Linked DNA regions of Lepisosteus oculatus. The protein of the gene in region 2 interacts with the protein of the main gene of each other region in a biochemical or structural test. Links are inferred from orthologs where the notes say so. Each region holds a gene or a part of one and is shown on either strand. Other genes may lie near its edges.

What was found.
Region 1: the proteins of arl2 (region 2) and unc119a1 form a complex in vitro, tested with the Homo sapiens proteins (2 studies listed by BioGRID and IntAct, with this or other methods). The link is inferred for Lepisosteus oculatus from reciprocal best matches to the Homo sapiens genes ARL2 and UNC119.

What each region holds. Positions count from the first base shown.
Region 1 is NC_090721.1:8,824,486-8,828,231, forward strand, and holds the start of unc119a1 (protein unc-119 homolog A), read right to left. Parts: upstream 2,297-3,746; 5' UTR 1,997-2,296; coding exon 1,696-1,996; intron 1-1,695. UniProt on the Homo sapiens protein: Involved in synaptic functions in photoreceptor cells, the signal transduction in immune cells as a Src family kinase activator, endosome recycling, the uptake of bacteria and endocytosis, protein trafficking in sensory neurons and as lipid-binding chaperone with specificity for a diverse subset of myristoylated proteins.
Region 2 is NC_090713.1:21,450,215-21,453,960, reverse strand, and holds the start of arl2 (ADP-ribosylation factor-like protein 2), read left to right. Parts: upstream 1-1,076; 5' UTR 1,077-1,171; coding exon 1,172-1,236; intron 1,237-2,107; coding exon 2,108-2,218; intron 2,219-3,287; coding exon 3,288-3,450; intron 3,451-3,685; coding exon 3,686-3,746. UniProt on the Homo sapiens protein: Small GTP-binding protein which cycles between an inactive GDP-bound and an active GTP-bound form, and the rate of cycling is regulated by guanine nucleotide exchange factors (GEF) and GTPase-activating proteins (GAP).

The sequences.
Region 1 (3,746 bases), on a different chromosome or scaffold from region 2:
ACGCGGGTGGACGTGCCGTGACTGTCACTGTGTGTCGAACATGGATCGAATGAGAAACTGGGGAGATAGAAGGATTGATCACTCAGCCACGCTGGGTGGGGGGGGGTTAAACAGACGGCCCCCGCAGAGCCCGCGCTGGGCACTGCCAAAGCAGACCAAAAGCAATCGCTCAGAAACAGGCCGGAATAAAACCGGCGGCTGTGCGTTGTGTAACATCTTCCGCGGTTCTTAAAATAGCCAGGGCCCGCCTTTCTCGATCCATGCGACCACCTGTTGCCTACCCAGGGTCAGGTCAGTCACAGAGCGGCCCGGCGCCGCTCGGGATGCGACACTCGCGGTTCTGCGTGTGCGCACCTGCACACGCGTCATGTCACTCGTTACCGCTGTTGGGACACTGTGGCTCAGTCTCCGCAGAAACATGCACAGTTCATGCACACTCACGCAGCGGGAGAGAGAGAGACTGCGGGATGAGACTATGGGAGAAAGATAACGAGTGACTAATCCCTTATTGCCGGCAGGCATTTTCCTTCCAGTGGCAGACCCGGTGTGAATGTGGCAACGTATTCGCTGTCTGTCTCACCCCTGTCCGCTTGGGAACACATTTGTTTTATTTCCAGGATTATATCTTCTATTATTTTATTAACATATCCACATATTCTGAAGTCAATCCTAAGTATTTAAGGTCGAGGAACGGTCGGAAAACCTTTGCGTTTTCTGTAATGGAAAATTACATAAGGCTCTCTGTCTCCCTTTCCAGCCCACTGTATCGCAGAAGGCTGCGAGTCCAGTGTCGGGAAGCCGCTTATAACATGTCCATTACAGATCCGTCTTAAAACCTGGCAGCCTTTTTCCCGTCCGTGTTAACACACACTCTTGCGCTCCCTGAAATATCAGGGGTTTGGAAAGACATTTAACGTGAAAACCAACATCAGGAACCGGGCAGCGGTATAAGATCAGTTTCTGCTTGCGTTTAATGATAACGCTATAGCGGATCAAGAGGAAATGGCTGGGAACACACTGTATGAGCGAGCTCTCGCCGTGTTTGTGAGCTGTCGCTCAACAGCGGTCTGTACTTCAGCCTCTCAGGTAAATGAGGGCTGTGAAAGAGGTTTCGCCCCTTCACAATCATACCCGTCGGCTGTAATGCACGGGGGAGACCTACTGGGAAACAGATTGTCAAGCTGTACATGAGATACGGAGCTCCGAGATGCTAACAACCACCAAACCGGGGGTAGCGTTTATAACAGCAACTGTGCTCCTCATCCTGGTTATCGCGCTGCTAAGGTGTAGCGGTTTCAAGTGGGGGTGCCAAGGTTGTTTCTATATCGGGGCTGAACTCCTACTGCACTCCTCTTTAAAGCGCACATTTATGCCAAACTAACCAGGTCTTCCCTGAACAGAAAACTACCGATCTGCGGTGAAACTCCGACCCCTGACGGGCTGTATTTGATCCGTTCAGACAGGAAACAACGGGTGCAGATGAGAGTTTCCACGCCACGGAAGAGCCGAGCAGCGACGTCGCAGACTCTAGCTACCCCGTCGGTATCGCCCCAATGTGGCACCTAGGAAATACGGTCCCCGTCCGCCCTTCGGGTGCCGAACATTACCGGAGCGAGATACCGCGCACACGGGCATCCTTTAAGACCGGACGCCGCGACAGCGATGACGATAACTGCAATAACCGACGCCACTTACTTTCGGTGATCTTCTGCAACCCCAGCACATCCTCGGGGGTGATCACGGGTTTCCTGAGCAGTTCCTCCTCCGTGGTGACCGGGACCCCTGTTTCGGTGGAGTTACAGCCTTTCTTCACTCTCATTGCCACGAGTGGTTTGGGGGTCGGGGTGTCCTGGGTCTGGTGGTCGCTGCTCTCCGCGCTTCTGCCGCTGCCACCGCTGGGATTATTGCTTTTACTAGTGCCAGACCTCTGAGCGCTGCTGCTGGATGAGTCCTGGCTATTGCAGACAGCCTCTGTGCCGATACAAGAATAGCTCATTCTCCTCCTCCCCCCCACTAGTAAAGATACAAAACACTCTCCCCCCTCTCTCTCCCTCGCTCGCTCGCTCGCTCGCTCCCGTCAGTCGCTTCGCTGCTAGTGCGCCCGCTCGGTATTTTATTTAAATCCCCCTGTTCTACAGATCCTTTCCGTTTTCGGCCAGCGACTGCCCAGAGCATCCGCCGCCCGCGCCAGACTGCGCCTGTGCCGGCTCTGTGTTGAGCGCTAGCTCGCCGAGCGCCACTCTCTCCGGCCGAGACGCAAAGGAAGCGGTCTCTCCGCAACACAGACACTGACGGACGCGCACACGCCACAGACATGCACACGCTCTTGTACACAGTGGGGTCCCACTTAGTTTCCCCGGCTTTCGGAAAGGGAGAAGCCTTTATTTCTGGTGTCACAACGGCGGTAGCGCCAGCGGCCGGAGCGACCGGCGCACGTCTGGGGCGGCGAACGACAGATTCTGCAGCCAGACTCAGACGTGTTTGTCGCCATTCACGCCTGGATAATCGTGAAATGTATCTGCCTCTGTACCGAAACCTCCCCTCTCAGACTTGTGGTATGGCCCATTTTTCTGCGTTGGCAGGAAGCTGAGGAGAAGTTGTCGTTTTTTTTTTCTTCGCTCAGTGGGTTTGGGTAGCGATGTACCCGTGTCTCAGAGCTTGGCTTTGAACGTTTCCACGGGCACGCAGTTTGCAGTAATCTGCTCAAGACGTCGCCCTATTTATTATGAGGATTACGACCAAAATATTGAATAGAAATGTGTTACGTAGTTAACATCCACCATTTATTTATTACAGCTACACCACACAGCCCTTGTGAATAGCATTTCATGCCCCCCATACAGTATATATTCAGGAAGTGCAAAAGTCGGGACAATAAAATATCGCAGGAAACAAGTGGGCTAATCTACTTTTAATTTTCAAAGTGTAGCCCAAGATAAGTCACTGAAATGTGGTGTTTCTGCGCTACAGCCTTCGCTCCCCGTCTCCGGCGCTGAGGAGCTCTGAGGATCTCGCTGAACTTCTGGATAAATCCGTGTGATGAGTCCGAAACGAACAGAATGTCAGTGCAGGCGGCGGCGGCGGCGGCGCTGAAGTTCAGACATGACACCCGCCGCAGTAACGCCCGGATTTGAGCGACGACCAGCCGCCTCGATACAATCCCCGCCTGCCGTCATCCCAGCCGCCGGAGCTGTCCTGCCTGGCGAAGCACCTCGAAACCGCGAGTGTCGATGTGATCAATTCCAGCAATGACAAAGACGATCTCCCCTGCGCTTAACATCCGCTTAAGGTGGATGCTGGTGGTGGTGGAGGGGATCCCCATTACCTGTAAAGCGCTTTGAGTGGAGTGTCCAGAAAAGCGCTATATAAGTGTCAGCAATTATTATTATAATTAACATGCTGTCTCTCAGTCTGGTGGTGTGTTTCAGGGAGAAGCCCAGAATGTCGGATGCGCCCCTCGCTGCTGGCTCCTGTAGGAAGCCCCCCTGCGCTGTGCTCTCTCGGATCCCGTGAGTACCGCGGTGGGCGGCGACGCTCAAGAGACACGGCGCTGCCATACTTCGCCGAGACCGCGCTCGCTGTCGGTGTTGCGCGGGGAAAACTTCGGTTGTTGTTGTTTGTTTGTTTTTCGGGGAAACATTCAGGGCTCGTTCAGAAACCAGACTCAAGATGTGTCGTTAAAAGACTGTCCACATTTATTCAGGAATAGGATACACAAATTAAATGCAGTTGGCAGTGAGGGGGGT
Region 2 (3,746 bases):
ACCCGCACCGCTGCTGAGACTGCGGGCAGACCCAGCGCCCGCATCAGTGACAGGCCACTGGCCGGGGCCAGACAGGGGCGGCGATGGACGCGTCAGCGGTGGCCTCGGGTCCCCCTCGCGGACGGGTCACTCCTCAGCCTGTCCCACGCAGACGGGAGGGCCGGAGTGTGGAGGAGGAGGAGGTGGTGTGTTTCTTTTTCCCCATCAGTATATTTGGGCTACAAATACAGAGAACATACTGTATATTGGACTGCCCTCTCCGTGGTGGCAGTGCGTTCGCTCTCTGGCTCAGCATCTGCGCCTGTGGCTGGGAGGTTGCCGGTTCGAATCCCGTGGCCGGCAGAGGAATCCTACTCCGCTGGGCCCCTGAGCGAGGCCCCTTCACCCCAGCTGCTCCAGGGGGCCATGTAAATGGCCGACCCTGTGCTCTGACCCCCAGCTTCTCTCTCCCTGTCTGTGTGTCTCACGGAGAGCAAGCTGGGGTCTGCGAAAAGACAAATTCCTCATGCAAGAAATCGTATAGGGCCGATACAGTGATCTTCTCTTATCTTTCTCGCACCTGAAGAAGGCTCCGCGGCCGAAACGTTGTGTTTTCCTTCTTCTCTTTTCAGCCCGGAAGATTACTTGTTCCTATAGACATAGAATTTCTATAGAGCGACGACCGGAGCTGAACAGCGTTTCAGCGTCTGTTTTGAAAGAAAAAAAAAACCCCAGGCTTGGTTTTTTTTGTATGACAAACGAACCCCGAACAGTACGACCATGGTGACGCCACATGCAACGCAAAAACATCGTGGGGAAGTAATTTGTGTTTTGTACGACAATAGTCCTTTTCCCCTTTGGCGCTGGGACTACAATTACAGGTTAAACGGCCATTCGTGGTCTGTTCCTGTAGCGCCCGCACGGCGGCGCTGTGAGAAATGCCGACGAGAACCTCCTCGCGCCCCGGACATCCCTCTTCCAGCAGAGAAGCCAAAGAAGGGAGGGAGGGAGGGGGACGTCAACGTGACTGATGGGCCAACCAGAGAGCTCCTTCCCGCGGGCCGCGACTCAGAATCAACCAATAGGAGCCGTGTGGGGGCGGGGCCCGGGGGAGCGCCCTCTTCCTGGTCTGGTCTGGTTGCGTTGCGGGGAGACCGAGAGAGCCGGGGCTGGTGTTCAATTCGTTTACTTAATGGGTTTGCTGACGATCCTGAAGAAGATGAAACAGAAGGAGAGGGAGATGCGCTTGCTCATGCTGTATCCTTTGCAATACCGGCGGAGGTCAGGAGATTTGTGGGGGAGGGTGTCCCCACTGGATAGCTCAGCTGTTTAAGGGGTTCCCCGAAAATCGCGGCAGTTGCCCTGAGTACTCGAGAGCTCATCTGGAATGAACGTCTTCTCCTGACATCATCGCGCACACACACACACACACGCAGTCGTTCTGTGCTTGCCCTTGTGTGCAAGTTATTTTTCGGAAGAGATGACCGGGCGACTCTTCTCCCTCGGTCTTCGGTTCTCTCGGCGACACGGAAGCCCGTCGCGGATCTGCTGTGCTGGCGTGTCCGTCTCTGGCCCTCTGTGTGTCAGGTCCTCCTGTACGTGCGTGCTTCTGCGGTTCAGCACTGAGGGGGCCCAGGGTTCGATTCCTGGGGTGCTGTCTGTGTGGAGTTTGCATGTTCTCCCCCCCCACACACACACACACACACACACACACACACACATGGGCTTCCTCCAGGTACTCCTGTTTCCTCCCACAGCCCAAAGACGGGCTGGTGGGCTTCTGGGAAAACAGGCCCTGGTGTGAGTGTGTGTCCCGCGATGGACTGGTGTCCCGCGATGGACTGGTGTCCTGCCTTGCTCCCGTTGCCTGCTGGGATAGGCTCCGGCTCCCTGGATACAGCGGTCAGGGCCTGGACGGATGGACCCGCGGTTTCCCCCCAGCTGTGTGGACATCTGTCTGTCTCCACCCGCCCGGTCTTCACTAACACCCCCGCCGTCATCGTCGTCCTCATCAGGACGATGACACTGGCCCGCGGGAGTCGGTCTGTCCGCCCGGGGGGGGTCCTGGGACAGACCAGGGGCGTCAGAGGAGCTGGAGCGTGTTTCCTTGACGCAGGCGTTCCCCCAGGGGCCTGGACAACGCGGGCAAGACCACCATCCTGAAGAAGTTCAACGGGGAGGACGTGAGCACCGTCTCGCCCACCCTGGGGTTCAACATCAAGACCCTGGAGCACCGGGGGTGAGCGGGGGGGGGTTAGAGAGATATAGAGAGGGGGGTTCAGAGAGATTGAGGGGGGTTCAGAGAGAGAGGGAGGGGGGTTAGAGAGATATAGAGAGGGGGGTTCAGAGAGATTGAAGGGGGGTTCAGAGAGAGAGGGAGGGGGGTTCAGAGAGATTGAAGGGGGGTTCAGAGAGATTGAGGGGGGTTCAGAGAGAGAGGGAGGGGGGTTAGAGAGATATAGAGAGGGGGGTTCAGAGAGATTGAGGGGGGGTTCAGAGAGATTGAGGGGGGTTCAGAGAGATTGAGGGGGGTTCGGAGAGAGAGGGAGGGGGGTTCAGAGAGCTTGAGGGGGGTTCAGAGCGAGCGAGGGGGGGTCCAGAGAGATTGAAGGGGGGCTCAGAGAGAGAGGGAGAGGGGCTCAGAGAGAGAGGGAGAGGGGCTCAGAGAGAGAGGGAGGGGGGTTCAGAGAGATTGAAGGGGGGCTCAGAGAGAGAGGGAGAGGGGCTCAGAGAGAGAGGGAGGGGGGTTCAGAGCGAGCGAGGGGGGTTCAGCGCGAGCAAGGGGGGGTTCAGAGAGAGATTGAAGGGGGGTTCAGAGAGAGAGGGAGGGGGGTTCAGAGAGATTGAAGGGGGGTTCGGAGAGAGCGAGGGGGGTTCAGAGAGATTGAAGGGGGGTTCGGAGAGAGATGGAGGGGGTTAGAGAGATATAGAGAAGGGGGTTCAGAGAGATTGAAGGGGGGTTCGGAGAGAGAGGGAGGGGTTCAGAGAGATTGAAGGGGGGTTCGGAGAGAGCGAGGGGGGGTTCAGAGAGATTGAAAGGGGGTTCAGAGAGATTGAAGGGGGTTCAGAGAGAGAGAGAAGGGGTTAGAGAGATATATAGAGGGGGGGTTCAGAGAGATTGAGGGGGGGTTCGGAGAGAGAGGGAGGGGGGTTAGAGAGATATAGAGAGGGGGGGTTCAGAGAGATTGAAGGGGGGTTCGGAGAGAGCGAGGGGGGGTTCAGAGAGCGAGGGGGGGTTCAGAGAGAGTTGGGGCAGGTCAGAGTAAGGGGACACTCCAAGTCTCCCACCACCTCCGCCCTCCCCGCAGGTACAAGCTGAACATCTGGGATGTGGGAGGGCAGAAGTCCCTGCGCTCCTACTGGAGGAATTACTTCGAGAGCACCGACGGGCTGATCTGGGTGGTGGACAGTGCTGACCGCCTCAGACTGGAGGACTGCCGGCAGGAGCTCAGCTCCCTGCTCCTGGAGGAGGTACGAGCACACTGCTCGCTCGCTACACGCCCACTGCTCTCCTGCTGCCCACTGCAGGCCTGAGCCCGGAGCCTCGCCACTGCGGGAGATACGGTTCAGCACTGCGGCACAGGGCCCAGCGCATCGCCGCCTCAAAAGCTCTGGGGCTCTGGGTTCGATTCCTGGGGCGCTGTCTGTGTGGAGTTTGCACGTTCTCCCCGTGTTCACATCGGTTTCCCTCTCTCTCCGGGGGCAGCGCCTGGCCGGAGCCACCCTCCTGGTTTTCGCCAACAAGCAGGACCTGCCGGGGGCGCTGT